4 linked regions of the Pelodiscus sinensis genome follow. The protein of the gene in region 3 purifies or fractionates together with the protein of the main gene of each other region. This does not show direct contact. Links are inferred from orthologs where the notes say so. Each region holds a gene or a part of one and is shown on either strand. Other genes may lie near its edges. The genes, in order: BRMS1L, SAP30, SINHCAF and ARID4A.

The links.
Region 1: the proteins of SINHCAF (region 3) and BRMS1L purify together in Homo sapiens (affinity purification with mass spectrometry; 3 studies listed by BioGRID and IntAct, counting the BioPlex papers as one, with this or other methods). This does not show direct contact. The link is inferred for Pelodiscus sinensis from reciprocal best matches to the Homo sapiens genes SINHCAF and BRMS1L.
Region 2: the proteins of SINHCAF (region 3) and SAP30 purify together in Homo sapiens (affinity purification with mass spectrometry; 4 studies listed by BioGRID and IntAct, counting the BioPlex papers as one, with this or other methods). This does not show direct contact. The link is inferred for Pelodiscus sinensis from reciprocal best matches to the Homo sapiens genes SINHCAF and SAP30.
Region 4: the proteins of SINHCAF (region 3) and ARID4A purify together in Homo sapiens (affinity purification with mass spectrometry; 3 studies listed by BioGRID and IntAct, counting the BioPlex papers as one, with this or other methods). This does not show direct contact. The link is inferred for Pelodiscus sinensis from reciprocal best matches to the Homo sapiens genes SINHCAF and ARID4A.

What each region holds. Positions count from the first base shown.
Region 1 is NC_134714.1:47,686,044-47,693,607, reverse strand, and holds the start of BRMS1L (breast cancer metastasis-suppressor 1-like protein), read left to right. Parts: upstream 1-4,373; 5' UTR 4,374-4,462; coding exon 4,463-4,598; intron 4,599-7,564. UniProt on the Homo sapiens protein: Involved in the histone deacetylase (HDAC1)-dependent transcriptional repression activity. When overexpressed in lung cancer cell line that lacks p53/TP53 expression, inhibits cell growth.
Region 2 is NC_134715.1:68,329,696-68,337,991, forward strand, and holds the start of SAP30 (histone deacetylase complex subunit SAP30), read left to right. Parts: upstream 1-4,844; 5' UTR 4,845-5,331; coding exon 5,332-5,655; intron 5,656-7,664; coding exon 7,665-7,787; intron 7,788-8,296. UniProt on the Homo sapiens protein: Involved in the functional recruitment of the Sin3-histone deacetylase complex (HDAC) to a specific subset of N-CoR corepressor complexes. Capable of transcription repression by N-CoR.
Region 3 is NC_134711.1:106,423,969-106,431,641, forward strand, and holds the start of SINHCAF (SIN3-HDAC complex-associated factor), read left to right. Parts: upstream 1-4,218; 5' UTR 4,219-4,444; intron 4,445-7,673. UniProt on the Homo sapiens protein: Subunit of the Sin3 deacetylase complex (Sin3/HDAC), this subunit is important for the repression of genes encoding components of the TGF-beta signaling pathway.
Region 4 is NC_134714.1:11,393,146-11,400,744, forward strand, and holds the start of ARID4A (AT-rich interactive domain-containing protein 4A), read left to right. Parts: upstream 1-4,470; 5' UTR 4,471-4,609; intron 4,610-4,615; exon of another isoform or gene 4,616-4,767; intron 4,768-5,316; exon of another isoform or gene 5,317-5,703; intron 5,704-6,036; 5' UTR 6,037-6,103; coding exon 6,104-6,109; intron 6,110-7,599.

The sequences.
Region 1 (7,564 bases), on a different chromosome or scaffold from region 3:
GCTGCAGCAAGCTCTAGTGCTGAGGAGCCTGATCCAGTCAAGGTTACTGGATCTGTGATACTGGGGGATGGCAGAGCACTGAACGCTTTGGCCTCCTGCTGATGCTGCAGACCCTGATGCTGCTGGTGGGCGGTAATGTTGGGCCCAGTCGTGCACCATCCCATTTTTGTGTACATAGCCTCTTCCAGCTCTGAGACCAGGGGACCTGCCCTAGATGTGGCCGTGAGGATGTCACCTGAGCCTGAACGGTGTGGTAATTAGGCTACAAGTGATGCAGGGGCCACATATTGAGAACCACTTGTTAGACAAACACCTATCAGGGATGGCCTAAATAATACTTCGTCTTGCTTCAATGCAGAAGCCTGGATTAGATGACCTAGCAATGTTCCATTCTGGTTCTGTTTTTACAATTGTACATATAAAACTGGGAAACATCACAAAAGCTCCTTTTTAATTTTGTAGAACTTAACATGTACAAGTATATTTCTTCTACTTTCTGAGATTGACAATGGACATATTTTCTATCTTTTTTCAAGGCCACAAAGCTTGTTCTTTCCACTGAGGTGGTTTAACTAGTCCTTCTCTCAACCATAATTATGACATTATTAGTAGTAGTAGTAGTAGTACTAGTAGTAGAAGTCCAAAACACTGCAATAACATTTTTGTATGATGTAGTGTCCTGGAGCATTACTGTGGTATGTTTCAGTTAACAAGCCTTTTGGATGGGCAACTAATTGCTCAATTTACATGGTCTTTGACAGGATTGGGCAAAAGGGCCTCTGGGGGCCAGATCTGGCCCACCAAGCAGGTGGATCTGGCCTGCGGAGGCTCTGCTGCTTCCCCGCCCCCAGGCCAATTAAGGATTTGAGATGGGGGAGTGCCCGATGCCTTTTCCGCTCTGCCCCCGCCCTGCGAACAGCGTGCGGCAGGGGCAGAGCGGAGAAGGATTTGTGTGATCCCCGCCCCCAGGCCTTAATTGGCCTGGGGGCGGGGGAGAGCATGAAGCCTCCTCCCGCCCTGCCAGAAGCATGTGGCTCTTTGTAGCGCTATATGCTGCTCACGGGGCGGAAGAGGGGGGATGGGAGAGAGCAGAGGAGACTTCGTGCACACCGCCGCCCGCAGGCCAATCAGGGCCTGGGGGGTGTGGGAGCTGCATAAAGCTTCCTTCGCCCTGCCCAGCCTTGCGAGGAGCCCAGGGCACTTCATAGTGTCATGTGCTCCTAGCAGGGCGGGAGGAGGCTTCCTGTGCTCTCCCGCCCCTAGGCCCTGATTGGTCTAGGGGTGGGAAAGCATGCCAAGCCTTTTCCAGGGCATGGGTGCCTAGTGGGAAGAGGGGGCAAGGGGCTCCTCCATCCCCAGACCAATCATGGTCTGGCGGTTGGGTAGCCCTGCCCCTTCCCATTTAGGCCACATTCAAAAACGTTTGCAGTGGCCCCCGGGGAAAAATTATTGCCCACCCCTGGGCTTTGATCAATACTATAATGGCCTTTTACTTATCTGGTGTAGACTGGTGAACTAGCTGAATTTGGATTAGGCCATGGGAGAAGGGAAAGCAACATGTATAAGGGAGGATATTTGAAAAGCAAGAATGTGTTACAGAAGATTGACAATGGAATAGAGAACCCAATTATGAGGTTTTTAGATTCCATAGCAGTTGAATGTTCCTGGCTGAGAGGATGAGCTGCTTTCTGAAGATTCTATGGTGGGAAAAGAGAAGCAGTAGATTTCAAAGCAATAAAATATCAAAGCAATAAAATGTAATTTGATGGTATTTTGTAACCATTAATAAAGTATTTTATTTAAACATTGTCTTTGCTAGGAGGGTTTCCCTTGCATAGGTATACTAAACTTAGTTAAATTGCAAAACCCTCTTGTTTTTTATCTGCAATTAGAAGCTTTGCTGGTATAGCTACAGCTGTACTAAGGTTTTTACCAGCTGAGTTATGTAGGCAAAAATTACACCCCTAACTAACATAACTATGATGGGAAAACTTCTAAGTCTAGACCAGGTCTGTTATGTTTATTTTTAGTTACATTAGGCAGTTCACAAATACAGAGGATAAGGTAGTTTAACATTTTTTTTGTATTATTGAATCGCTTATTATGCATCAGTCTAAATACAACAGGATAGGAAAATGTCTGATTATTGGGAGATTAGTTTCAACAGCACTTCAGACTCCTCCAACGTATCTAGGTGTTCAGTTTCCAAACATGTATATCTACATAGGCTCATCTCTTGGCGCATGTCTACACAGCAGTGTTAGTTCGGAATAACTGACATTATTCCAAAATAACAAAGAGCACATCTACACTATTAGCCTTTATTGTGAAATAATGTCGAGCTGGAGCACTTCTTACTTCAACTCTAATAAACCTCATTTTATAAGGAGTAAAGGAAGTTGAAGGAACAATGTTCTTCCTTCTACTTCCTGCTGCGTAGATAGCGCCTAAAGTTGAGCTAAGCTATTTTGATTTAAGCTATGTAATTGATGTAGCTGAAGTTGCGTAGCTTAGTTCGACTTTAGCCCTGCTGTATAGATGTACATACTAATCCAAAGGAGAAACAGACAAGACAAGAAGTATTACATGAGTCAGAAGATGGTGATTTTTTTTCTTTTTGCTTTAGTGTTTGTTACTTTTCCTTGTCATCCTTCCATGATCAATGTGTTTTAGTACTTGTGGGCCTCATTAATAAATGTAATAATTTACACTCTATTACAGGTCTTTCTAGCTGCAGTTTAATAAAACAATGGTTAGTAAGTCTGTCACATACTTAAACCTTGGTTTCCTATTTACTACCCATCCCACCAGCTATCTGCAGTTGTGATTTGGAACTCTCTGTGTGAGAACCCCTGCTCCAGCTGATGCTAAACACTTCACAAAGTATCTTTGAATACATCCCAGTCTCATTTAAGGAAACATTAATCTCTGAAATTAATAGAGAAATGTTGTATTGTGGATTCTTACATGGATCCCATTGTTACAAAACTCTTTTGACATCTTGCCTTATTAGTGTTCTAAAGTAGAGGAGGAAAGTCTACTTCAGTTTCTCTGGTATGTATAGAAAGGTATTATGTAATTCACAATGTTGTGGGTAACAATTTTAAAGAGCAGTGAAATACATAATGATTAATGTGGATAAAAGAGCAGAGCACTCCACTTTAAGATAAATAGGTGAAGGTGAGTTTCAAGTTATTATTAATTATTAATTAATAATTTAATTTAGAAGCTTGAATGCTTGTCCAAGACTGATTGTCTCAGCGGAAGTGAAGCCAATGAAACTCTTGGGCCTTATCCCCAGAAATGCAACTTATTCACCATTGAAAAGTTGTGTGCATGTATCTGTGGAAAAATATGGACCTTTTATTTAAGAGCAAATATAAAACATAGTTTGGGTGGGGAGAAGAGACAGCTAGCTCCTAGGTGCCCGTTCCTACTTCTCATCTGCCCAAAGTTTTTTCTTCTGAAGGTTCAGTCATCTGTGTCCCTCTTCTCTAGTTTTTGACCTCCATCCTTGCTACCTGCTTCTGCTTCCTTCCCAAGGAGTTTATCAGTTTTGAACAAACCACCTGGATACCTCCATTATTCAATCATTTCTTATCTGAACCCCAAATTTGAAGCTGTAGAGATTTAATCTTATGTCGTGGCTCAGCCTAGGATATGCCATGAATTTTTGTGATCTGTCTAGTTCAGGTATAAATGTATTAGTTAATCTGAAGTAAAACTTAATTAAGTAATTGCAGATAAAAGACAAAACAATACCAAAAAACTCCTTGTAAGCATTTTGGAGAATTACGGTTTGAATAAACTGAAGTTTATATATATATATATATAGTATAATGATCTTTTGTGGGCAAAACCCACTTCTTCAGATGAGATGATGAGAGGATCTTGAGTGGAGGGAAAAAAAGGGGATGTAGGGTTCTGATACTCTATGATCATTTGCCCAAGTGCCAGTCAACCAACCCAACCATTTCACGCTGTCTTCATCCAAGGCTGACAAGAGCTGCAACCAGCCGAGGGCTGGCATATTCCTAGCTCTAATTCATTAACTGTAACAATCGAGAAGTCTTTCAATTAAATCAGCACCTTTGCTGCAAAGGAGATTCCATGGAAAGATGGAAATTCCCTAATTCAAAGTGCTCACAAGCCTCAGCCTGGCAACTCCGCTATCTAATCCATGTCCATGAAGCCACAGCGAGTCTTCTCCAGATTAACTACAATTACCATAGTGCTTCGCGCAACGGCCAACCACACCAACTGCGTTCGGCGGGGGACACGCCCACTCGGGCCAATATGCACCAATAAGCGGCGCGAAGAGCCATGCGGCAGGCACTTGGGTTGCGTTGTGTGGCGTGCGGGAATGGCGCGGTTTTACTGAGGGGCGGGCAGGGGGAGGAGCTGCCGGTGGTGGCGGCAGAGGGAAGGGCGGTCCCGGCGCTCGGCGGCATCTCGGGGGAGGATGCCGGTCCATTCCCGGGAGAAGAAGGAGAACAACCACGATGAGATGGAGGTGGATTATGGGGAGAACGAGGGGAGCTCCTCGGAAGAGGAGGAAACTGAGAGCTCGTCCGTGTCCGAGGAGGGGGACAGCTCAGGTACCGGGGACCAGGGGCTGATTACAGATGCTGGGGCAGGGCGGCCGCTCGCTCGCTGGATAACGGTGCGCGCGGGGTGTGGGTGTAAGCGACTGTTAATGCCTTCGCCACAGTCTGCCCCAGCCCCCACCCGGCAACATCTGACCCCGCCCCTCCGTACGGCACCGTCTGCCCCGCCCTCCCGACACGCCCCCCCCCCTCTCCCACGGCTCGCCCCCGGCTCCCCTGCGCTGCAACTTCCGAATCGCTCCTTGGAGGAGCCGGGGCGTGCAGCCCCCCCCCCCTTCCCTGCTGGGCAACTTGTGACACACACAACCCTTTACTGGGGGCTCGGCCTGCCTGTCCCGTCTGCATGGTAGCTTGTGGATACATCCCTTCTCCCTTGTATGGCAGCGTATGGGTCCCTTCTAGCTAAGGGAATGGCCTTCCCCTTCTTCCCTGCTTGGCTGTTTCTGAGGCGCTTCTTTTCCCAAGGATACCTCCCTGCCCGCCGTTCATTCTCTTTACCTCGTGGTCACATGCTGTGCTACCATGCTCCCTCTGCATGTCAGTTTCTTCTTGCCCTATTTGCCTGATGTGGGGGCACTTTCCCTTTCTGGCAGTTTCTGACATATGCCCTTCCTGACATATGCCCTCTCACCTTCATCCTGCTCCTTCCCTGTATGACAGCTTTTCCTTATCTACCTTTCCTTGATTTAGGGGGTCACTGTCAGCTTCTTTGCCCATGCCCTGCATAGTACCTTCTCCTCAATCCCGCACCCCCACCTTTTGATATGGGAAGCAAAGCGCAATCTCCCCTCTCCATTTACTGCACTGTAGCATCTTGTCCCCTCCCAGGAGTGTGTGTGTGTGTGGGGGGGGGGGAGGGTATATTTGCCAACTCTTGCATAATATTGTCTTGTTCCCCATTTAAGGCTTTTTGAAACTGTTTAAAGAAACTCTAGATAACTTGTTATGAAAAGTTCCATAGAAAAGACTTGCCAAAGAATAAGTATAAATTTTAAAATACCACATATCACAATAAATATCCGTTAATAGTAGTGGTGGTCCAGATATGAAATGCACAAGATGGGTGAAGTGATGTCTTTTATTGGACCAACATCTGTTGGTGGACAGTACAATCTTTCCAGTAATACAGAGCTCTTCTTCAGGTCAGGAGAAGGACTTCAAGAGTGTCTGAGCTAAATACAAGTTGGGACAGACAAGCTTAGGGGTTAATGAATAATATATGCCTTCCAGCAACATAAGTTGGTTCAATAAAAGAAATACCTTAGTGTCAATTTTTCTGTTGTTTTTTAAGTTACTGTATTGCTTCTAATAAGCAAAAAGCGAGGTTGAGTTAAATAGCAAATTCTGCTTTAAAGCAAGAGAAGGAGGTTTGGCTAAAATGACATTTTGATAAGCTCACAAATTATTCCCAATTCTTACCTTCAACTTCAGCTGCTTTATTTTATCAACAGTTGTCTGGAAGTTAGATAATCAATGCACTCTATGCTTGAGAATCAAGATTCCTCCAAGCTCACTCCCTTGAGTTTAGAAATGCTATATTAGTGATGGATGTCAAAGTCACAAGTTATGTTCATCATTCCAGTATCTCAGTTTTGGCCACATTTTATAGAAGAGCTAGTTCAGAATTTTACTGTTGGCGCTGTTTTTACTATCTCCACCTTTAAACCAGGCTGCTCTAATTACCGTGTGTGCCCCCCCCCCACTCAGTCTTTGAATGGAGAAGAAATTTTAGAAACCTATCCAACTTACCAAAACAATTCTGCCATGCGTAAGTGATGATTTTTAATGTCAGATACCTTGTGGTATCCCAGGTCTAGAAACAAATGATCTTGTGAAATGAGGGATTTGATATCCCTGTCTCTAACTTCTTGCATGATGGGTAGTGAAATATCTGATACTAAACCAGTTACTTTTCTAAGACTGACTATTACCCATCGTGCTTGTCAAGTTTATGCACCTTCAGGGAAGAAATATCACATTTTGGGAGTTGAATATAATAAACTACTGGCAGTATTTTTAAAGATACTTTGTAGCTATTTGGAGTTTTGAAATGTTACCAATAATCCTAGTGGAGATGGATTAGTTGGCAGAGTGCAGGTGAGGTAGTCAGAGGTTCATGATAAATCCAGGTGAACATGAGGGTGATTTCATGTGTGATTGTATAAGTGAAACTCTGTCTTCTGCTTGGTGGAAAGTCAGACTTGCTTGAATATGTATGTATGTATGCAGCTATAGAAATGGAGGGCCTATGGTTGTATTAGTTGCAGTTGGAGGAGGGTACTATTCTCCCACATCTCAAGGTGGTGCATTCCACATTGTAGCAAATGACAGGAGTACACATCTAAGCAACCCAGTATGCTGTGCAGAAAGGAAAGGGTCCAGAGAACCACTGATTCTCAGGCATGATTGGAGTTGATGTTGCTTATCTTGATTTAAACTCCCTTGACATCTGTTTATAAAGTAAACAGCTGCTGATTAATTTAAAACAAAGCAATAGTTACAAAAATACTGAAATATATCTAGAACCTAAAACATACTGGAGACCCATCTGAATAATGGAAGATATTTTAACACCTTGTTTGCCTTTCTACTTTTGTGAGGCAGACCTCCCGAGGAGTAAATTGATGGGGTAGTTATATTAAGGATGTTAAAAAGCGGGTAACTGACTAATCAGGTAGTTGATACAATTTGTATCGACTACACGATTAGTCAATAAGGGGCCCTGAGGCTCTGCAGTTTAAATATGATAGGAGCCAGGTGTGCAGGCAGCCCAGCTTCTATTGCATTTAAACTGCAGAGCTGTAGTGAGGGATTGGTCTAGGACCTGGCGTGAGCCTCTGCCTCCCCGCCCCTAGCACTGTGGAGATGGTGCTGGGGGAAGTGGCTTTTAAGCTGTCCCCCCCTAGCATTGGCACCTGCTCTCCCCTTCTCCTTCGCCCCCCCCCACTTGCTGCCTC
Region 2 (8,296 bases), on a different chromosome or scaffold from region 3:
TGTCAGATCTAAGATCTTTTTCAAAATATGTTGATCAAACAGGTTTCATTAACCTGTAAGTTAGTCAGACTTATTAGATACAGTTCTGTGTTTTTTTTCACGAAGAACATTTAAAATTAATGTCTAAAATAAATGTCTCCCAGGGAAGCTACAGATCTGTAGTTATCACAAAATTCTACCCTTGCATTAGCAGGAAAATACACAACATATCATGATGGTGCCAGACAGAAGGACAATTTTGTGAATTGCTCTGTATGCCTGCCTGTTAAGATGCGTAAGTGCTCTCAGCTAAGCCTAGTGCTAGCTCAAGGGTGGGCAATAAGTCAGATGCTGCTCACCAGAGTTAGCTCCCACAGATTATCTGCACTTTATTTACCTGCATGCACCTCCATATGTACAGCTGCTCCCGTTGGCTGTGGATCACCATACCCAGCCAATGAAAGCTGTGGGAACCAATGTCCTGGTCCATGTTGCTTCCATTGGCCATGAAAGGTAATCAGTGGTGAATGGGATCTTCAAGTGGCTGTACCTGTGGGTGGTGCAGGTAAACAAAGTGCTGGCAGCTCACCTGGGTCTAACCCTAATGAATCATGGGATAATTATTGCCCACCGGTGTGCTAGCTGGTTCAGCCCTCAGGTCAGCCTTGTTTGGTTTACCCTAGGATTTAAGTTCAGCATCAGGGATAGGTCAGTGCTCAACACATATGCTTGCAGCTGTCATCATTCCTGTGTTGTCTTCTTTCTAGCTATACTCTCGCCTTGTTCCTGTCCCACTTCAGTCTGCTGAGGCTCTGCTCCCTTGGATGGTTCCTGATTCAGGCTCTGATCCTTGACTAATTTCCTGGTTCCTATTTCTGACTCTAGTCACTAAGCTGGGCTCTAACTTTAACCAGGTCAAACTGCCCACATACTGGTCTCTGATATGGCTTTTCTTCAAAACATGGTCATTAAGATCATCTTAACTTTCTTCAAACTTCATCAAAGAAATCCTGTATTTTTGTAACTGAAATTCTGTCAGCTTACCCATCTCACTTTCAAACTCTGACCCCATATATTAGCTAGGGATGTGAATGGGTAACCACTTAATCAGTTACCTGATAAGCACCCTTATCAGGTGATGCTTACTGAGTACCAATTACTGCAGCCCAGCAGTATTAGCTTCACCCTGAGATGCCAGTGCCAGTCCCCTACCTCTTAGAACCCCCCCCCCCCCCCCACCTCCAGAGCTCTCCAGCACTAGCTCCACCCCCATCACCTACCCCTGCATTGCCTCCCAACCACCAGATGAGCACTGCTGCCCAGGTCATAGCTGTTCTAAGGCTGCCGTGCCAGGCTCCATGTGGCCCTGCCTACCATGCAGCAAACTGCTCTTCTGCATCCAGGAGACCCTGCCCGTCCAGTGCTGGTTGGCTGAAAGGCAGGGCAGGATACACTTCTCCCAACAGCCACTGTGGGGGAGGTGAGGCACTGGGTAGTATACTCCAGCCCTGGCCTTCAGAGCTGCTATGGACTGCCAGTTGGGAACCACTGTACTAGAGTTACATAGCTTCCTATTAACTCTGACATATCCCTTCTATATAATATGTCTGCATGCCCAATTGAATTTCAGTTGTTATATAACTGCAATAATTTCAAATTCCAGTCTAGGTAGGACCTTAACCATATTCTGTAATATTAAGTTATATAATCATATTAAAATTCCATGTGTACTACAGACTGGAACAGTGCAACTAGACTGGCATGATTTTGCGCAAAAGCGGCCACTTTTGCGCAAAATCTTGCCGCCTGTCTACACTGGCCACGAGTATTTGCGCAAGAACACTGACTTTGTAATGTACAAAATCAGTGGTTCTTGCGCAAATACTCCAACGTTCCTGCTCAGGGATAAGCCCTCTTGCGCAAGTATTCTTGCGCAAGGGGGCCAGTGTAGACAGCCACGTTAATTTCTTGCGCAAGAAAGCCCGATGGCTAAAATGGCCATCGGAGCTTTCTTGCACAAGAGAGCATCTGCATTGGCACAGATGCTTTTGCGCAAAAACAAATCTTTTGCGTAAAGGCACATGCCAGTACAGACGCTCTCTTGTGCAAATACTTTTAACAGAAAAACTTTTCAGTTAAAAGTATTTGAGCAAAATTATGCCAGTCTAGATGCAGCCGAACTGTTATAATCCAGTTTCCTGACTCAGAATCCTAGGCTACATCTATACTGGCAGCTTCTTGCACAAGAACATTTGTTCTTGTGCAAAAACTTGCTGGGTATCTACACTGCACACGCGTTATTGCGCAAGTAAATTTACAGTACAGTGTCAGAAAACAGGGCTTCTTCCAGAAGAGTTATTCCTCTTCCCACAAGGACTAAGCCCTCTTGCGCAAGAGGGCAGTGTAGACAGGCAACATGAATTTCTTGCACAAGAAACCCCTATGGCTAAAATGGCCATCAGAGCTTTCTTGAGCAAAAAAGCGTCCACACTGCCATAGATGCTTTTGCGCAAAAGCACATGCCAGTGTAGACACGTTCTTGTGGAAGACTTTTTGCACAAGAACTCTTCCACAAAACAGTTCTTCCGCAAGAAGCTGCCAGTGTAGACGTAGCCCTGGGCTACGTCTACACTGGCATGATTTCCGCAAAAGAGTTCTTGCGCAAAAACTCTTACAGAAGAGAACGTCAACACCAGCATGTGTCTTTGCGCAAGAGATGTGCTTTTGCGCAAGAGCATCCGTGCCAGTGTAGACGCCCTCTTGTGCAAAAAAGCTCCGATGGCCATTTTAACCATAGGGCTTTCTTGCACATGAAATTCATGTTGCCTGTCTCCACTGGCCTCTTGTGCAAGAACAGTTGTGCAAGAGGGCTTATTCCTGAGTGGGAGTATCATAGGTCTTGAGCAAGCAGCACTGATTTCATACATTAGGTCAGTGTTCTTGCGCAAGAACTCACAGCCAGTATAGACAGGCAGCAAGTTTTTGTGCAAAAGCGGTTACTTTTGCGCAAGACTGTGCCAATGTAGAGACAGCCCTAGCGTATACAGAACATGTCTTCTCTGATCACCCCTTGATCTGGCACTCCACCTGTTTTGATTCAGTAACTATTGAATATGCTGTAATTAATACAGCTGAATGAATGTTTCAATGACCTAGTTGCATTTAACTATTTGATTCCCAATTTCACAGGGCTTTAAAATAAAAGCTATATCTGAGAGGAAACTCATTACCATGGACTTTGCAAACACATCAAGAAAAATAGGTCAAAGTTTGGCTCTTCATTCTATCCCTCTACCAGGGAGAGCTGAACTGTTGGATGCTTATGTTTATTAACCTTATGTACTTTTGCTATACAGTTTAGAAACTAGGTTTTGAACAAGAGCTTTCACCCTTTGTGCTCATTACCTCCATTTTAATTGTTCCTCCTGTTGAAGGCAGGTCTGAGTTAGAGTATTGTCAAGCATGATAGAGAGGTCATTTACAATTTAATTGTAAGTTCTGGAAACTAGTGATAGGGAAAACTGTTACAGCAAAATAAATGGTCCTACCACCAGGAAGGGAGATACAGGAAAAATGCTGGCTAATAAATGAACTAAGTTTGTTACTACCAAAGCCTTTTTTAATAAAATATTTACTATAAAAACATTAACTCTTATTCTTCATCCTGTATGGTGTTATCTAATTGCTTTCCAATGTTTATATATCTAAAGCTATCAACAACACAAAGAGCAAGGACCAATTATTCTCAGTAAACACAGGCAAAAATCCCAGGCTAAGTTTAGAGCTGTCAGCCAGCTCTCATTTGAAGAGGTGCCACCCCAAGTTCCTTGTACCACTCCCGTCCGAACCACCCGTCTGCAGTTGAGGGGTGAACGGGACATGTAGTCCAGCCTTTATCCCAAAAGAAAAGAGTCACAAAAGGAGAGGAAAATAAGATTTTGCAGAAACGCCTAAAAGCCTGCCACGGCGAGCTAGCTCTGTGCGCCATGGCAGGCAGGCCTGGGGGGAAACGCGCTCACCAACGGCAAGCCACGCAGCTGCAACAACACGCTCCGAGCCCTCCGGCTTGCAGCTGCTTATCCTGGCACGCAGCGCCCTTGTGGGAGACAAAACCCCACCGGTGGTAAACTAGGGGCAGGGGAACCGCTTTTCTCGCGTCCCTGGACGCGCGCAGCAAGGGAGCTTTGCAGCCCGCCCAGGCGTCCGCGCGCAAACATGGCCGAGGCGAGGGGGAGAGGCGACAACGCTGCCTGGTGGTACCAGGCGTTTCCCCGCCTCTCACGCAAGGCCTCGCTCGCTCCCCCAATATTCTGCCTCGCAGCATCTCCCCCCGGCCTGTCAGACCAACCCAAGGGGGCAGAGATGGGGCGGGCTGGGCCGAGCCGCCTTGGCAGCGGCGCTGAGGGATATGGGCGGGGCTGGGGCGAGCGGCTCCGCTTCAGCTTCCAAACAGGCGCATTTCAAATCTCAACGGCCGCTCGGACCGTCCTTTGAGCGAGAAGTGGGCCTAGCGCAGCGCGGAGCCGCCTCCTGCGGTCCCCGCCCCCTCGCGAGGGAGACCCAGGAGGAGGCTGAGACGCGGCAGTTCACTGGCGAAGAGCTCAGTCACCCCCTTTCCCCCCGCCCCCATCACATTGCAGAGGGGAGGGGCGGGCTTACAAACGTCTACAGCGGCCCTCCAGGCCCGCAAGCCCGGCTCGCGCGGTGCATTTCAGGGGCTGTAGTTTTTCAGCCCTCCCCGCCCTTGCCGACGCTGCAATGATAGAAACTACAGCGCCCATGAGCCCCTTGAGGCGGGAGGCCGCATGCGCATCGCGGAGCGGAGCCGCAGGCTGGGTGCTGCTGTTGTTACATAGGAAACAGCTGAAAAGTCTCCACATGACAGAGGGGGAAGGAGGAAGCGGGGTGACCCGGGGGACGGACGTGGCTTTTGCAGAGTGAGGCGCTTGGCCGCCTTTGGGAGCCCCCCAACAGCCTAGGGCCCCGAGTGGAGGGGGCCGAGCAGCGATCTCGCTGTGCCCCTTGAAGGAGCCCTTGTGTGCCCTTGGGGGAGGGGCTGTGCCCCCTGTTGCGGGGCTCTGTCTGCCGGGGGCCACGGGGACGGAGGTGACCCTCAGGCCGGGAGGAGGATCGTGCCCCCTGCAGCGACGCTGCCTGTCGGGCCGATTGCTGATGGGGCAGGTTTAAATCCCTCCCTTGCAGCCAAGCGCACAGACAGCGGGGAAGTTTGATTCAGCCCAGGCGGCGAGGACGGATCCTGCTCCTCTGCCGGACAAAGGGGCAGCGCAGGCGGGTGAGGAGCCCGGGCGGGTCGGCGATTTCTTCCGCCGGGATAGGGACGCTGCTGGGGCCATGAACGGGTTCGCCCCCGAGGAGGTGACCCAGAGAGGAGGGGAGGCCGCTGCCGCTACCACCGTCGTTGCTGCTGTTGTGGCCAATGCAGCCGCCACCGTGGAGGTGCCGGCGCCGGGATTAGGTCCCGGCCCTGCCGCAGGTGCCGCCGCCGCCGCCGGCTCCGCGGGGCCCCCTGGCGCTGCGGGCCCTGGGGCCGGGCAGCTGTGCTGCTTGCGAGAGGAAGGAGAGAGGTGCAGCCGGGCCGCCGGCAACGCCAGCTTCAGCAAGAGGATCCAGAAGAGCATCTCGCAGAAGAAGGTGAAGATCGAGCTGGACAAGAGTGTAAGTGAGGACTGGAAACCCGCCGCCGCCGCTGTGCGCCCCTGGGGCAGAGACAGGGTGTCCCGGGGCGGGCGTGAGTGGCAGTCAGGGCCGGGCCGGCCGGGGAATGCGCCCCTCTCGCATTAGGGCAGGCAGTGACGGCTGCTCCTGCGGGGTCACCGGCCCGAACGCCCCCAAGGGAACGAGCCCAGCCGCTGGTAGGAGCTCCCCCCAGGTGTGGGATCGGGAAGCGACTTGCGGGTCCTGTTGTCTCTCTTCACGCGCCGCGTTGCAGCTGTCCGGGAGCACAGCACAATCCCTCGCTCGCCCCTCCCCGGAGCCCCACTCCGGCCTTAAGAGTCTTTCCCGCACAGGCTTAAACTCCCTCCCTCCCCTTCCCCCCCGTGAGTGTGAGACTTTAGGCAGCAGCTTCTTTGCTAAATCGTTTGAGGTTTGCCCTTGGTGCGGTCAGCTGGAAGAGTGAAGCTTAAACTGCTTCTGTGCAGTGATGGGGGATAGGAGACTCCTCTCATCTTCCCTTCTGCTCCCTCCGGAAAAATCAGGGTGGCAGTCCGGAGAGAGGCCGTTTGTCCGGCTGCCCCCGTTTGCTGGGAAAGCTGGAGGCTGCACTCCCCTCTCCCCCGGCCGCCCCTCCAAGCTGTTCCAGAGCAGGGACTCCATGCGTGTTTGTGTGGCTGACTCTAGTGAGAGCAGCACACTTGGCCGCTCCGCCGCCTGTTGTAATGCTGCGCGTCTCTCTTGGCCACCGTGTCTTCCGTTTGGCAGCCATCAGGCTCTTCGTACTGCTCTCTACGAGAAATCGCCACGAGCGTGTGTTACCGTGTGCAGGCAACACGAGCTCCTGGCTCCCTTCCTTGGTGTGTGCTGAGAAATAAATACCCGTTGGTAGCAGATACGTTTCGAAGATCGGGAGCAGTGTTATCTGCAGAGCAAATGTCTGCCGGCTTCCTTCTCTAATGAATACTTGTTTCCTCAGTCAGAAATGCACAAGTATTTGCCAAGGCGATCTATTTTTACTTCACAGAGCAGAAATGTTAGGAGATGCTGACACAAAGAAAGGTTCTAATACACTTATTGCACTTACCACCCACAAGAGATTGAGTAAACTCATGCTGATTGGAGAAAAATGGTTGCTAATTTATATTTATGCTTTTGTTGGCTGTTGTGAGCTTTCTCTTGAATCATGGTTTATGAGAGAGCTGGTGAAGTAAACTTAAAGCCTATTGTAAATGGGCAAAAAAGCTCTTCTGCATTAACAAAAGGAAAAGCTTAGGCCCCCAATTTTTTCTGATTATATGTTGAATTAAATTGCATTTAGGTTTTTCATTTGTTTTTATCATCCCAAATTTAACTTTCTAAGTGCTTGATTGCCATCCTCCTCCCCACAACCTGTGCACCCACAGCTCCAATCATCATGTGAGATACTGATGTACAGTCAGTAGCCCTATGTGTATGTGTATATTTTCTCTGTAAAAGAAATTCACAGATTTTTAAAGATACTTTGTCACCGCTACAGGCCTTTCCTCTCAAAATGAGCTTGATTCCTACAAAAAGGAAAATTTTAAAACTAGACATACACATACTTTATTTACAATGCGTTTTCTTGGATGGTGGAAGCAAAACCAAGGAAGAGAGTTGTGAAGTGAGATAGCAGTTCATTTAAAATAATTGCAAAGTAATTTTAGCATCCTATTTCCTGTATTCTGATGAGTAACAAGAGAGCTGTACTTGGCTCTTTCTACAGCCTGTTAATACCAACTTTGAATTGGTTCACTGCAGTAGTACAATGATAGGAGGGATTTTTTAAGCCAAATACGTGTGGTAACTTTCAGCATACCAAATTTTAAGTATGGGTTCTGGTAGAAACAGCTTTCTTAAAGTCATAGGTAATGTCACCAGAGCTTCTTGATGGATCCACTTCATGATAAATTACTACAAGTATAATTTACATTATCATGTATTTCCTGGATGTGGATTTGTATTTAAAACATGCATTGCTACATTTTTAGGCAAGACATCTTTACATTTGTGACTTCCACAAAAACTTAATTCAGAGTGTGCGGAACAGAAGAAAGAGAAAAGGCAGTGATGATGATGGTGACTCACCAGTGCAAGACATCGACACTCCAGAGGTAGCTGAACAGTTGTCCTAGAAGTTGTCATATAAAGCTTGTTCTTAATTGCCACCAAGTCTGTTAATACAATTTTTCCAATTTTAATTTGTCCAAGGACTGGAAGAGAGCTCTTTTTTCACTCCATTAATGTATACATAATATTTTAATATTTATGTATTATCTTTAAGAATATTATAATATATTAACATATATAATTTAATAAATGTTTTAATTTTATTGTATGCATAATAATTTTCCAAGAAAGGAAAGTTGGAATTACATATATCAATTTTAACTTTGATAAAAATTTCTCCTTCATGACATTTTCTCCACAGATTCCTAATGTAGATGCCATGTGCTTAGCCAGGCAGTAGCAGAAACATTTTTTTAGTAGGAATTGGCAGTTAGAGGCATACTTAATTCCCTTGATTCCTAACATTTCATAGATTAAGAGTTTAAATACCTCAGCACTTCAATTGTCTTCTAGTTCCTCTCCCTCTCTTTTGCCAAAAGGGCTACAGAGCAAT
Region 3 (7,673 bases):
TGCTCATTCTTGCTCAAGTAAACTGACGTTGTACTGTAGAAATCAGGGCTTCTTGTGCAAGAACTCTGACACTCCCTCTCAGGAATAAGCCCTCTTGCGCAAGAGCTCTTCCAAAAGAGGCCAGTGTAGACAGGCAACTTGAATTTCTTGCGCAAAAAGGCCCTATGGTTAAAATGGCCATCAGAGCTTTCTTGCACAAGAAAGTGTCTATGCTGCATGGATGTTCTTGCGCAAAAGCACATGCCAGTGTAGATGTTCTCTTCTGGAAGAGTTTTTCCAGAAGAACTCTTCCGCAAAAGAGTTCTTGCACGAGAAGCTGCCAGTGTAGACGTAGCTGCGGCTGCGTCTAGACTGGCATGATTTTGCGCAAATACTTTTAACGGAAAAGTGCAAAAGCATCAGTGCCAGTGTAGATGCTCTCTTGCGCAAGAAAGCTCCGATGTGCAAGAAAGCTTGATGGTTAAAATGGCCAAGAAATTAACATGGCTGTCTACACTGGCCCTCTTGCGCAAGAATACTTATGCAAGAGGGCTTATCGCTGAATGGGAGTGTCGGAGTATTTGTGCAAGAAGCACTGATTTTGTACAGTACAAAGTCAATGTTCTTGCGCAAATACTCGCGGCCATTGTAGACAGGTGGCAAGTTTTTGCACAAAAGCAGTCGCTTTTGTGCAAAAACTTGCTAGTCTAGACGCACCCTTCAAGTATACTAGGTGGTCTCTGCACACTATCCGCTTAAGTGTTAGGTTTTGTGTAGGGATCATGGAAAGAGTTTTTGAAGAGGGATTTGAAGGTAGCCTGGCAAAGGTTGGGGACAGCATAAGAGAACACTAATGTGTGAAATGTAATGAGTAGGCAGTGGAGTCTGTGGTCATAGACCAATTGGTGATGAGTATCAACAGCTCAATAATAAATAAGCATTTGCAAGCGCAGGCTCTGTGTTCTTAGTTGCACACACAGAACTAATTGTTGCATTTGATCCACTCTGTGCCAAGGAAGGGTCACATTTCTCCCAAGACTTATCAGCTGAAAATGGATCATCTCTTGAATGTTAGGTGTACCTAAATAGCTGGTCCTGCAACTTTCATTAACGTGGATACCCTGTGCTTCTGTGAGTAACATCTGCAGATGTGATTCCTGGATAAATATTTTCCCAATTAATTACACTTCTGCTCAAAACAAACTTTTTCTTTGGTCTTTTAGGTCACCCATCACTTCTTCCAAAAGGAGCCCCAGTTTATTTTTGAATCCTGATCATTTAGCTAAGGAAGCAAACTTTAACTAATTTTCTGTGAAGTGGGTTGTGCCCACAAACGCTCATGATACCATCTACATGTTTTGTTAGTCTTTAAGATGCTGCAAGACTATTAGTCTGTAACTGGAAAAACAACAAACTCAGCTACCCCCTGAATCATTTTATAAACAGTATTTTGTGCCTATGCTGTTTAGTCATTGTAGGATAGAATTTGTTTTTATGGGGGAAATGACATCATAGAATTATCAGGACTTTGCAAATGTGCAAAAAAACCCAGACTATTGTCAAGAATGCAAACAAAAATAAGAATTATTTTAGGTCTTCCCAGTGTCCCTTTGGAGGCCTAATCCTGCTCTCATTTAAGTAAACTGAAGTTTTGCCATTGTCATCAGTGGGAATGGGGTAAGCCCCACTTCAAGAAAACACTTGTGTGTGTATATATATTTAACTTTAAATATGTTAAATGATTTAATAAACTGAAGCTTCCATTATAATTTAAAATGTCACAGGCAGGTTAAAATATTTGTTTAAAATCCTCTTGTTAATTACTAGATCATTAAAAAATACAAATCTGAATTACTTTTCACGTGTCTGAAATTTGTGCCCTTCATCTTCAATAACAAAAACAGGCTAGTTACTTTTGGATCTAGTTGCTCTTATTTTGGTTCCTATACACTGTAATTCAACAACTGCAAATATTGGAAGAGCATTTAAATCCAAACAAAAAATCAGTTTCAGTGAAATAAAAAAATCACAAATTCCATATTAGATTTTGTAATTTTAGTTTTAACAAAAAAAATTGGACATATATTTTGTAATCTTCATTGTGTCAGGATGACTACTGCTTGGTATAGATATTTTTTCATTATTTAAATACAATAAATAAAAACTAAACACATTCACTATTAGGGTGTGTCACTTTAAGAGTAGTTTATAATTGTATTTCTAATTTCATATCACCATGACACAAAGTGGTACTCTATAACCCTGTCACTCTCTGTGGCACCTAGGTCTTTGACGTAATAGCTATTTTTAAAATGAAATCTATTTCAACATAACTCTGCAGATGTTGTAACATGGGGTGGCTGCTACTGAGCTGTCTGTGTGAAGAAGATTGCAAAAATGTGTGTTAATCTAATTTTAAATGTAAAATTGTTTTACCTATATTATTTTTTTAAAAAACATTAAAATTAACGAAAGTCCTTTTCTTCTGCCAAGGGGAATACGTTTTCACTGAATGTGTACATTTTATCACTGCTGTCAAAGGTGCAAAATCAGTCAGAAATGAGTGAAAGATTTGAAAGAGAAAACTTGGGTTATGTTTTGCACAAGGCAAAATTAGGAGTAATCATTAATTTTTTTAAAAGCAAAACATGCTCCTGAGAATTCTAATATTCATAAATGGAAAAAAAACTGCAAAAAAAAAATGCTGAAACTAGATGTGCTGAGCGTATTGCCATGCCCTCTGGCTTGAAGTGGTTTCCATCATATATGGAATTTACAGTTGATTCAATAGCTCTCAGCACCCCCACTATACAATTGTTCCAGCACTCCTGCATAGCATGAAATATGTAAATGTAATATTTAACCTCAGAAATTGTCATGCTGTAGCTGTAGAAAAAATACAAAGTTCACAAACCTAAAGAGAAAGTATTATAAAACAAAATATTTATTTTAAAGGTTTTTTGGGGTAAATCCTATCATAATTATTTGCTAATAGTTTAAACCCATTAACTACTCCACACTCCTGGGCTATGATTAGGGCTCTTCAGCACTATGATACACAAGTAAGAATATTTATTGGATTTATAGAGAGCCACATTCATAGTCTTCTCATTGAATCTGCTCAGTGATGGGCTCACGTGTGTCAAAAACCATGGCTTTTTATGGAAGCCAAACGTATAAATTCCCCTAGAGTTTTTAAACACAGAAGTTGTGGCCAGAGCAACCATACTGCCAGCCCTGACTCACCTCCAACTTTTGCACTGTGATTAAGAAATGTGGGGAGTTTCTCAAAACTATCCCCAAAGTCTTCGGTCTTTGGAACAAAAAACAGGACTATGTTTTAGCTACACCAGACTAACACTAGACTAACATTTCTATCACTATTCGCTCTTTGGGTGATAGTGCTGAGGTTACAGATACTGTGCAAGGAATCTGGCAAAGGTGGGAACCTTCTGCTTTAGTCTATTTCAAACTATGGATCTGAGAGAACCAACTGATCACAGTACAGTATTTACTATTGCTATTATTACTTTCTAGTCTAAGCAATTGCTTGGAAGAGTCTCTGTATTTAAAGGTCTATTTTGTGAAAAAGTTTGGGAACTCTGGCCCAGAGGTGCAAGAATGCAGTTGAGTTCCCGTCTAGCCAGGCCCAAAGAGGACATTCTTCTTTGATAGGTATTATTTTTAGACAGTTTAAAAAGTTTTGACATGGTCAATTCTTTGTCAAATGAGAGTGAGCAAACTGGGATTAGCTGCCCATTAGATAGTAGTGGAGGCTAGTTTTGGTTTCTAAAAGGAAATATCTCAGGCTCCTCAGTTTCTCTTTGTAAACAGGTATCCATAGAGCCTCTGTAATCCCAAGTATCTCGCTTGAAAGATAATCCAAATCCTCCCTCGCAGGCACCGATGTTCCTCTACACATACAAAAATCCACCTCCCCCCCCCCACACACACACACTGAAATGAGTCGTGACTGAGCGTGACATTTGGCAGAAGATTTCCTAAGCAATTTGCAAAGGAAAGCTTTGCAGCACCTGAGCCGGTTCGCCGCAAGAGTACTGCACAGAAGCCGCACCACTCATTGTTGTGATTCCATTTGCTACAATCTCCTCCTACTCCATTGAGAGGAGGTGGAGAGTGGGTTGTTTGTGTGAAGTCATCGCCAACGTCACAATGAGCCGCACCGCCTCCTCCTCCCAGGCTTCCCGCGCGGCCCTTTCTCCCTTAAAAGGACAATGGGGCCCATATGCAAAAGAACTCGATTGAGTAGAATTGAGCCGTGGGAACCACGCTTGCGCAGAAAGAGGGGGAAGAAAGCGACCTATGCAAATGAGAACTGATTCCAGCAGTAGTTGCATGCAGACTCGGGGTGCAACACAACGAGGTTGCGTACTCCGCGAAGGAGGGGGGATTCATCGCGCACAACGCACCACGCTATTGATTTGTTGGTGGCTGCAATTCAGTGGTAAGTGATTTAATTTTTCTTTCTCCGCCTGCGATGTTTTTTTTTATCCAAGAAGTGAGAAACGTCTTTGGTTTCAGGGGATTTTTTGCGTTTACCAACCAGGCGTTTTGTTAAATAAAACAAGTTTTTGGAGGCTCCCTTTAGCTGCAGGGCAGCCACATTCCTGTCCGAAACAATTTTGACACACGCTGACCTGTGTGCGGCAATCTATTTTTCTTCCTTTTAAAAAATAACTTAAGACCTATCAATTTAAAACTTATATTGTGGCGAACATGCCGCTTGCATTGTTCCAGATCCAGTTCACCCGGGGACTTTCCTTCAAGTGAAATCAAAATGTTTTCTTCCGAAGAGAGAGGGCGAGTTAATTTCTGAAGAAAAAAACTAGAAAAGTGATCCCAGGCAGTGCGGTTGGCTAGAGAAGCTGTATGTCCAGATCAGGATGTTATCGGGAAATATCAGTGTAAGGGACATTCTTCCAGGAGCCGTAGTAAGGGGGAGTGTATCAAACCGTCGCTTAGTGAATGTTTTGAATGGCTCAAGACTCTTAGTGCTCTCTGTAACGAGGTGGAGGCTAGAAAATGTAAAGTTCCTTCCACTTCGTAGAGTCATGTCAAGCAATTTTAAGAGACGGACATGGGGTTGTTTGGTTTACTTCTTGGGGTGTGAAGTGGGGTGAGATTAGCTTGGCCTGTTGCGGGTGCTGCTTCCCAGGTCCGTTGCGGCCCGTTACTGTATGCACGCGGTTGGGCATTCTTTGCTCAGCTTGGGCGAGAGATGCGGATGTCATGATGAGAAAAAGAAAGAGAGTCCTGGCGCCTAAATCGCTCGGGATTCCAGAACCGAATTGAGTTTGGAAGGGTTAAGAGAGAAATGTTCCATTTTCGAACGTTCTCCGGGATCTTGTACGTGTTGTGTTGCAGATTATACACCTGTGGCTTTGTTTTTGAGCGCACAGAAGTTGTTGCGTCGTGAGTGGCAGGGGGCAATCCATTGCAACGGCAATGTACGTTTTCTCTTTTTTGTAAGGGCGGGAGGGGAATAGGGAAACTGTTCTCTTCGACTTGTTGGCTTGTTTTTAGAAGAGATGTCGAGATTGCACACTCCAAGTAATCTGAAATGGACAGGCAGTGTGTGCAAGCTGACGTGACACGTGCTACTAGGTGCGCAGGCTTGCTTTCGTTTTTAATACCCTTTTTCTATTGTAAATACCTTGTTATCGAAAAGAGGTGTCCTTTTAGCGTTAGGATAGGGCGATTTGATAGTGATGGCGTCTTGCCATTTTCAAAGCAGAGGGCGAGCGAAAGTTAACTGCATTTCTTGTCTCCTCTTTGTAGTTAACATGTTTCCGTGTAGAATCCAACGCAGTTTAACTTCTAGTTAAATTATCCGTTTCGCGGGGGCTTGTGTGTGTTTTGTCTAGTTGATCTTACTAGTTAGCGTGATCTTTAAATCTAGTGCATTCTACAAAACAGTCCGACCTACCCTTGATGCCGCACGTAGGCAAAACCAGGCTGAAGGGAAAACAAAGGGCTTGCATGTGCTGCAGGCAGTGCTACCTCCGCAACTGTGTCTGCAAGCCAGTCGGCTCACCGAAACTCGGGCTGTGATTAAATAACGAGGGGACGGCTGGCGGGAGAAGAAGGGGGGGGGGGAGTTGTTGCGACAGGTTTCGTATCTTGGGGAAGTTTTGAGCTTGACTTTTAGTGCCTGGAAGACTTTGGGGGAGTTAAAGTTTAGGAGCGTGCACGCTCCTGCAAGGTGACCATGCTGCGTGCATGGAGGAGCAGGAGTGTTTGTGTCTACAAGCCGGCGGGAGGAGGCAGCGCCTTTCACTCCGCTGGGTCTACACTGCAGCGGATTCCAAGCTACGCCGGGTACCGAAGGCGGCTTGGCTGGGGGTGGCTGAAGACCTTTTTAAAGGTTCTTTGCACGGCGTCCTCCCCCGGGTGTGCGCGTGTTTATGGGAGGTCTGCAGGTTCCCCCTTTGAAGTGGAACTGTTGCCATGTTTGAATTACGTCAGGGGGAAGCCATGAGGAACCAGCGGCGGCAGCTCGGTGCAGGGAGAGGTGAAGGCAGGGCCCTGCTGGACACCATGAGCGCGAAGCGCGCGCGTGTGCACCACTCAGGAAGTGCTGCTGAGCTAGATGGTGGTGCACGGTGCAGGGGGGGGGACGGGACGATTTCGCCCCTTTTGTTCTGGCAGGCAGCGCGCTGCGGTAACTTTCTCTCGGGATCTTGGCCGGCGGCGGGTGCCCCTTGGTGGCTCTCATGCAGCCAGCGCCGGACAAGACCCGCAGCCAAACAGCGTGCGATAGGAAAGTGAGTGTCACTGGGGCGTGCGGAAAATCGGTGCCCGCCACTGTGACCCCCGATTGCTCACCACGCCTTGCAGCCGGCGCTGGGAGGGGGGGCGGGGATGCGATGTCCCCGCCGGGGTGAGTCCTGGGGGAGGGCAGACCTGGTTGGTTTAAAACCTACTTCAAGGCTAGTTCAACGGCATCCGCGGCTAACGCGCTCAAAGGCTCGGGCCGCCTGTTCCCATCCCCTGCACACAGTGCTGAGCTCGGGGCCCCGCTTCCCGGGAGCGACTCCTGCCTTCCATGTCGCCCCGGTGCTGAGGAGTTGGGAAGGGAGCCTCGCCCTGACTAAAAGGCGAGCCGCGGCGTTTTCGCCGAGACCTCGTGACACGCACTGTTTTGCAATGTGCTCTCCGAAACCACCGCCTGCCTTCCCGTAGCGCGCCACAGCCCGCCGGGCTTTCTCCTGGGGCGCATCCTCGTTTGGGGCTTGGTCACCTTGGCACGCCTACGCCAGAGCGTGCGGGTGACCCTCGGGCTTGTCCACCTGATCATCATGGCCTCTCTGAAAAGTAGGTCGTCCTTGCGGAGGTGACTGGGGGTGGGTGGTCTTTGTTCCAGCAGGCAGTGCGGTACAGCTGCTGCGCATTGATGCTGAATGGCCCTCTGCTGTTTTCCCCCTGCCTCTTCCCAAGTGGCCTTTTGCCTTAAGTTTAGTTCCTCCCTGACTCGGGTCGAGCTCAAGGACAAAACTTTGCCAGGATGAACCTTTCGGTATTGGCACCAGGCAGACTGCAGGTTAAACGTGTCATGAAATCCTGGCCTGGCTGATACCAATGGGAGGCCTGTCATTGACTTCGGTGGAGCTACGATTTTAGCCCTGAGGAAGAATCTGTGTGTGTGGTGTGTGTGAGAGAGAGGGGAGGGGATG
Region 4 (7,599 bases), on a different chromosome or scaffold from region 3:
CTTCAATATTTCAGCTATGTATGTTCTTATACCTCCCCCAAATCTAATTTGTGCCACATGATCACAAAGAATTTATTGAAAAATCCACATCAAACACACACATCAGTGTTTGTGCACATTTATTCAATCTCAGATTAAGTTACCTATGCAACTTTACCTCCTCTTGCATTCTTGCTGCAGCACAGACAAGATGAAGACATCTGTCAAAAAACTTAAGAACTGAAAAAAACTCAACTAATTGTCAGGTACAAGAAAAACTATGGAAGCACTTTACTTCCGATTGGTAGAGATAAATCACTTGTAAAAACTCAAGATAGGAGACGCTAACTCCTCTATTGCAACATTAAGGTAAAAGACTAACAGGATTTCTCTTCTGCCATCCCAGTGAAATAATTTTAGCTCTGAAATTGTGTGAAGCAGTTTTATAGTATTGGTTTGCTTCTTATCTAAGAAAAACTAGAAAATAAAGACAAACCATGTCCCTCAAAGGTGGATGCCAGAATTTAAGCCGCCAAGTAGGTGTGGCCTCTGTTTTAGATATTTTGAACACTAACAAATCCAACCCCGGGTAACAGGAAATGCAGTTGCTCAGCACCAGCTGTTACAATACACAAGTGAGTATGTTTACATCCAAATCAAGCAACAGAAGACTTCTGAAATTCATGGTATGTGCGGTACATATTTTAATTGAATCAAAAAATTTTCTTCATGAGGCACAAGTTCATTTCTACCAGATTAAACAATTTGTAGTAAGAATCAAGATTAGATGCAAAGACATTATAATTTTTAAAAGCTCAAGCTTTTAGAACACATCTTACAAGCACCAATATTGGCCCTCATCACTAGTTTACATAGCTTGCATACAGAATTATGTAGTAGACTGTTTTCCTCAATTCATGCAACATACCTCCATGCATTCAGAAGTGGCAAAGATTTGAAAGATCTGCAGTTATATAGCAAAGTGGGTTTTTTGCTTTAAAATAAAAACATACAGAAACAAATTGTAGAACCCACCAGAAAGTCTTTTAAGTAGGATGGCCTAAAATGTGTGTGTGGGGGGGGGGGGGAGGGGGGGGGGTTAGGCCTGAACACAAAAGTGGAAATCTAAAAAAATAATTTAAACAGTGGCATTGCTTATAGAAGTCTCTGCTAATATAGCTATAGAGTCCATAATCAGTTCAATAAAAAAGAAAGCATATTGTGTAATTGTCCAAGACAGCAAAGCTCCAAGGAGTAACTAAAGGAAAGCTTCAGAAATTTGTCCTAATTTGATTTCTCAGTTCTTTGCCTCATTTTTAGAAAGTGAGGAGGGGAACAAATTGTCCTGAGGTAAGTGAAAAGTGACAAAAACCAAAGTCCCTTATCCCAAATGGTCAGATTTTAAAACAATGACATTCAGCCTGCAGAACTGTTAGTAGATAAGGGGGAGGGTGCTCACTACTCCCACTGCAGTTCTGCAGTTTAAGTGTAGGAGAAGCCTGGCATCCCAGCTGGCACCACCCCCAGGAGTTAACACTGCTGTGCCAGGTGGCTCTTCCTACATTGAAAGGGCAGAGCCTCATTGCCTCCTGTTCCCCTCCATGACAGCGATGATGCTAGGGAAAACCAGCTTTTATCCCCTACTGAAGTACCTAAAGCATATCCAAACTATGCAACACTGCCTAACTAGGAAACTTTTCCTTTGTCAGGTCTTGCTAATGCTTCAGATCCAATACAAACCAAAATCTTTAGAACAGACTTGAAAGCTGGTTATTAGGTATCAAGCCCCTCTGGCAGCATTCAGCATATAATGGTCATCTCTGGAACTCTGATCTTTCTATAAACTCTGCATGGTGAACTCCTGCAACCAGAGCCCACTGCAAGATGGGAGTCTAAAGCACTAGACAGAAGGTTGAAGGAGTGTTCTCAAGTCAAGTTTATTATGCAAAACATTTAATAAAATTACATTTAGCTCTCAAGCAGGTTTAGTGATGACAGCACTTCACATTATAGCTTGACTTTCAGTTTAGTGCTTTATCTATTAAAGTTAATATATGAAGCCATAAAATGCTTTACACATTTAAAAGTAAAGTAAGTTTATTTTTAAAAAAATCTACTTTGTTGGAATTAAATATGAATTGATTCAGGTAGCTTAACAGGTATACACATGCACACAGCATTTTGCAAGTTCATTGACTACATGGACAGCAGCCAAAAACAAGTTACAGAACTACACTAGAATGTTACAAATGCCTCAGGAATGTATGTTGTTGCTAACTCTGAATAAAATGTTTGTGTTTTCAAAAGTTTACAACTGATTAATACAGCTTTGAAAGTGTAATATGCAGATGGAATGCTACTTTTAACTACCTTAATTTAAATGAAGAGTTCTCTTTGTATTTTTTTATTACACATTCCCTTTAGTAGTTTATGTTTAATACAGAGCATAGTACTGTATGGTGTTTTTTTGTTTTGGCTGCTGATTGTGTACTTTCAGTTCAAAATGAGGTGTGTGGATGACTACTGTCAAAGCAAAAGGTTCTCCCTTCAGCATAGGTAATCCACTTCAAGATGCAGTAGCTAGGCTGACAAGAGAATTCTCCCATGTCTATACAATGGGTCAAGTTGGTGTAACAACACTGCTCCAAGGATATGGATTTTCACACCCCTGAGCAACAGAGTTATATGGATCTAGTTTCCTGGTACACAATAAGTGTTAGTGACCCCTAATAAAACGAGTCAAAATAATTCTGGTGTTTCCAAGGAAATGAAAGTGTTCCAAATAACCAGTTTATGACAACATTCACTCCAAACTTGACTTAAGGGTGCAGAAAATACAACCTTTCATTTCATTGCCATCTAAAGAGTATTAGTACAACTAAGCTGTCTGCTCTGTGCTTCTCAGGATAACATGGCTGTGCCACTGCAGCAGAACCATGGTAAGCTGCACTGTACAGCTGCTTTTTATCATTTGAGAGCCCTCTCCTACTGACACAATAAAACCACTTCCAACAACGGGTGGTAGTTTTGTAGCAGAAAATGCTGCCACCACCAATGAAATGGTGCCCACATGAAGACGTTTTTCCATCATTAAAACTTTGTTCAGAGTGAAGTTTCACACTTCTAAGCAACAAGAGCTTTAACAATGAAAGTACCAGTGTAAAGGCAGCCTAAGATGTCAGTTCAGTTCCTTATCCCAGGAACAACCCCCACCCCAATACTCCTGGCAGCAACACCAAATTAGGGTAGCTTCCCTGTCCCTACCCTTTAACAACAGTCAATGACGTAAACATGAAAAGCCGCACCGCTTGCTATTTAGTGTAGAGGAAACTGAGCTGCCTTTGGACTGGTCAAAAGCTCTCAGCCCCAAGAAAAACGGCCTCGGAGGCAAAACACGCTTCCCCTCCCTACCATAAGTATGACTGAGACAGCGCACACGCAACCGCCCTGGTGCCCTGGTTCCAAGGGCAACACGTAGGAAACTGGCCGACAGCACGTGCAATAACGCGGCTGCGTCTGAAACCAGCAGCTGGCGAGCTCCCAAACCACCACTATGCCCGCGGGACAGGCAGCTCCTCCGAGCTCTACCCACCCTCTCGGAGCCGCGCGCCGGCTGCCGCTGGGGCGCTCCCGCCCCACGTCGAGGTGACGAGCTGCAGCTTTCAGCGTCCACGCGCTCCTGGAAGCGCAGCCGGGGGCTGCCCGCGCGCTCCAGCGGCGCCGCGGCCCGACAGGCCTCGCTCCCCGCCGGGGCGGCGAACCCCAAGCCCCACGGGGCAGCGCCGACCGGCTTACTCCGCCGCCTCCTGGGCCCAGCCAGCACCGCGGGCGGCTGCCACCTCCCCTCTCACCGAGCTCCTCCTCTGCTGCCGCCGCCAGCGGCTCCTCAGAGGTCCCTTCACTTCCGGGGTCGGCCTCGCCGAGCTTCCCCCTCCCCCAGCTGCTGCGCCATCACCGCGCTGAGGAAGGGAAGAGGCTCCCCCCTCGCTACTAGTCCAGCCACTTCGCCGGCCGAAGGGAGAGAAGACGGTCTGCAGCCGTAAGTCCCACGGAGCCCCGGCCGCCCCCTCGCCCTTGGGACGAGGGCAGGCCTCCCCCCCAGAGAGCGCAGAGACCACTCCCGCTCCCGTCCTCCCCGCCTAAAATGGGAAAGAACATCGTACAAAATGGCGCCCGAGAGGCCCACCGCGGCGCATGCGCGGTACGCAACTATGCAACCGTCGCTACTGCAGGCTTCTAGCTCCGCCTCGCCCCCGTTGCATTCCTATGAAGCAGTCCGCACCAATCACATCGCCCCGCCTCTCTTCCTGGCCCTCACGCTGGCCAATCGTGCAAGGCAGAGCTACATCCGGATCCAGTTTGCACCAATCAGCGTGAGGCAAACGATTACTTCACTTCGGAAATTTCCAATTGAGTCGAGTCCCCCGGATTCACCAATCAAAAGTCTCCGTGGCTTTACCTGCGTCGGCTTTTGACCAATCGGCTCTCGCCGTTACCCTGTGACCAATGGGAGGGGGCTGTGCGCGGCGCCCAATCCGGGCGGGGCAGAGCCCCTGGGCGTCACGAAGGGCCAATGGGAGTTCGAGCAAGGCAGCTACTGCTCAACAGCTTGTTATTTGGCTGATCGCTGGTGAGTCGGTGCGAGTCCGGGCTGGAAGGGGGGTGGAGCGGAGCGGAGCCGAGCGGCCGCTGCCTCTGCCCACCGCTGTCTCTGAGGCGCCTGGCGCGAGCGGGGCTGGGGGCCGGGCCGGGCTCGCGGCAGATCCCGACTTGGCTCCGAGTTTAAAGGTAGGGGGGGGGGGAAGGGGCAGCGAGCGGCTCCGCAGCCGCAACTCTGCTGCCGTCCCGGGGGAGGCAGAGCGGGGACCCCTCACCCGGCGGATCGACGCCCCCCTCACTCAGTCACGGAGGAGGCCCCCCCCCCGGGGGAGCGGGGACTCCCTTCCCCCGCCGAACTTCCACCCCCGCTCGCCCGGCGATTCCTCCCCTCTCTGGCCGAGGACCCCCCCTTCTCGGCCCGGAGCACGGGGGCGCCCCATCCCCCGAGGACGGGGAACGCCCCCCTCAGCCCCTCCGGGCGCGGGGTGGGCTCGGCAGGTTCCCCTCTCGGCTCTCCCCTGCTCGGCTCCCAGGGACCTCGCTTCCCCCCCGCCGGAACGCCCCCGCCCCTCGCTCCCGGGGAGCGGGTGCTCGGAGGGGGGCCCGGCAGCGGCGGGGTTTGGGTCGTGTCTTGGGTCGAAGGGTATTTGCGGGAGGCGGGGAGGGGGGCTCGAGCGGTAGCTGGGAGGCAGGGGCTGTGAGGAGGTGTGTGTGTGTGGGGGGGGGGTCTGGAGGGTAGTCGGGGAGGCAGCGGGTGTGTGTGGGGGGGTGTCTAACTCCTCGGTCCCCGTTTATAGCCGGAGGAGGCGGGGTGGAGAGGAGAGGGTCAGGTCCTTCCTGAGTAATCTCTCCTCTTGTGCTTGAGAAAGTTGAGAGGGGAAGAAGGCGGCCAAGGGCCTTGTCTCTGCTGCGCAGGAGCTGCCCTTGTCCCAGCAGCTGGGCTGCGAGCCGCTTACAGCTCCAGTGGAATAGTAGTAGTAATATTATTTTTGCCTGCGTTGCGTGTGTGTGGAGCCTCTTCTTGCCTGACATGGTGCAAAGGCGGAGGGAGCAATGGCGACTTGTCCTGACACACGGAGGGGCTGAGGAGCAGCAGGAGGCAGCCGAAGCGGGACGGAAAAGGAGGTAGTAGCGGCTCCTTGCCCAGACCTCCAAGGGCCCATTTGTTCCCAACAAGGACCCCTTTTCAGCACTTCTTGCTATCCCCTCCAGCTGCACATGCAGGGCAGCAAGTGGGGCTCAGAGGCTTCCTGTGGAGGGAATTCCTTTAGGGATGTAAGGGGTGGGTGTGCTCCTAGGGTGGAGGGAGGTGTGTGTATACAATGTGGAAGAGTGTGTTTAATAATCTACCATATGCTTGTAGCTGAATTGCAGCTTTCCTAAGATCAAGCTGTTTCCTTTTAATAATTTTGTAGGCTGGCAGACGTGTCTGATCATCTTCCTTCTCTTGTTTTCTAGGTTTTTTTCAGTATAATTAGGGTCAGAAGATATCTTTGAGCTGGAATCCCTCAAATAACCTTCAAAGATGAAGGTAAGTCTAGGTCCTTGGATGGAGGAGGAGGGGGAAGCATTTGTGCTCTGTCTCTTCTACTTGAACCAGCCACTGTATTTTTAATCACTGCATCTTCATTGAACAACAGCAAAGTAAAAGTTGGCTGTGGAAATCCACACATGTTGAATGGAATGAAATCCCATTTCTTCACTCTCAGTGCAGGGCACCTAATCCCAATCCCTCACCTCTGTGGTAACACTACTCTGGACACATAAGATGGCTTTGACTTGTCACTTGGAGTACTATTTTTAAATGCTTCCTGTGTTGGCTATAGCTTTTGTGAGTTTGCAAAACCACAGTTTTTATCCTTCCTTAGCAGTTTCAGTTTTTACAGTGCAAAGACAGCTTACCAGTTGCAAGATCAGTCACATGGAGGGAAGCACTTCTTGTATGCAGAGATGAGCAAAAATAATTTGAACACAAAATATGTCATTGCATTTCTTCATTTCTTGATTGTTTTTTACTGTGACTGTTTTTTTTTAAACATAGTAATGTAGAAATAAAATGTACAATAATAATGTTCAGGTACAGACAGATGTTCTTAAAATTGTAAGCTTGCATATCTTTTTTAGAAAAATAAATCTTAACAAAGACCTTGCAAGGAACAAAAATTACATTTGATACTTGTTTGAAAGGTTATAGCAAACTTTTCTGAGGATCTGTTGCTGCTGTTTTTCCCTTCAGAAAATCTGATGTGGAGCACACCATGAACTGCCTTTTTTTTTCTTTTTTTTCTTCCTCACAGAAAAACCAGAAATCTAAAGGTTTTGGTTATTGTATGTATTTTGAAATTGCAGCTGTCTGAGGTGCAGCTTCCATTCCAATTGAAATATTGCTTTTCTGTAAACAATACAATATGAATGTATTAAGTTGATATTCATCCTTATGTTAATGTTTCTTTCTCTATTTGTAAACATATGCTTCAGTTCTCTTTGAGGTTATTGAACAGATATTCCTGAGACAGTCGTCAGACTGATAAAATTGAGGGTCAGAATTCTTTGAGCAAAAAATTTACCCATAAACTCGGTGTGATGTAAGCTTTTTAGCCAGCCAAATACACTGACATTTACTGGCAAAACTGATGTATTTCTTTGGGCCATAGTGATCTGTGTATGCTGCAAAATAGTGCAACAAACCATAACTATTGTTTGTTCTTATTCACTTTTCATCATCAGTTATTTAAATTCTTTTTTTTAAAGTTGCTATTTTAAATAGCATTTCAGTATTTAATGACTATTAGTACATTCTTGCAAACTGGGGACATGAAAATAATTAAATGTGAAAAATCTTCACCACTCATTTTACTTGCACTGTCAAATCTTGTTGTAAAGAAAGATAAGGCTGTGTGCAATATTGGGAAGCAGCATAGAGCATTATTTATGACCTAATTAAGAAATGGTCAACAGGACTAAAGTTTGGGTGTATATTTGAATACATGATGCAACTATAAAGACAGTTATTTTACGAAA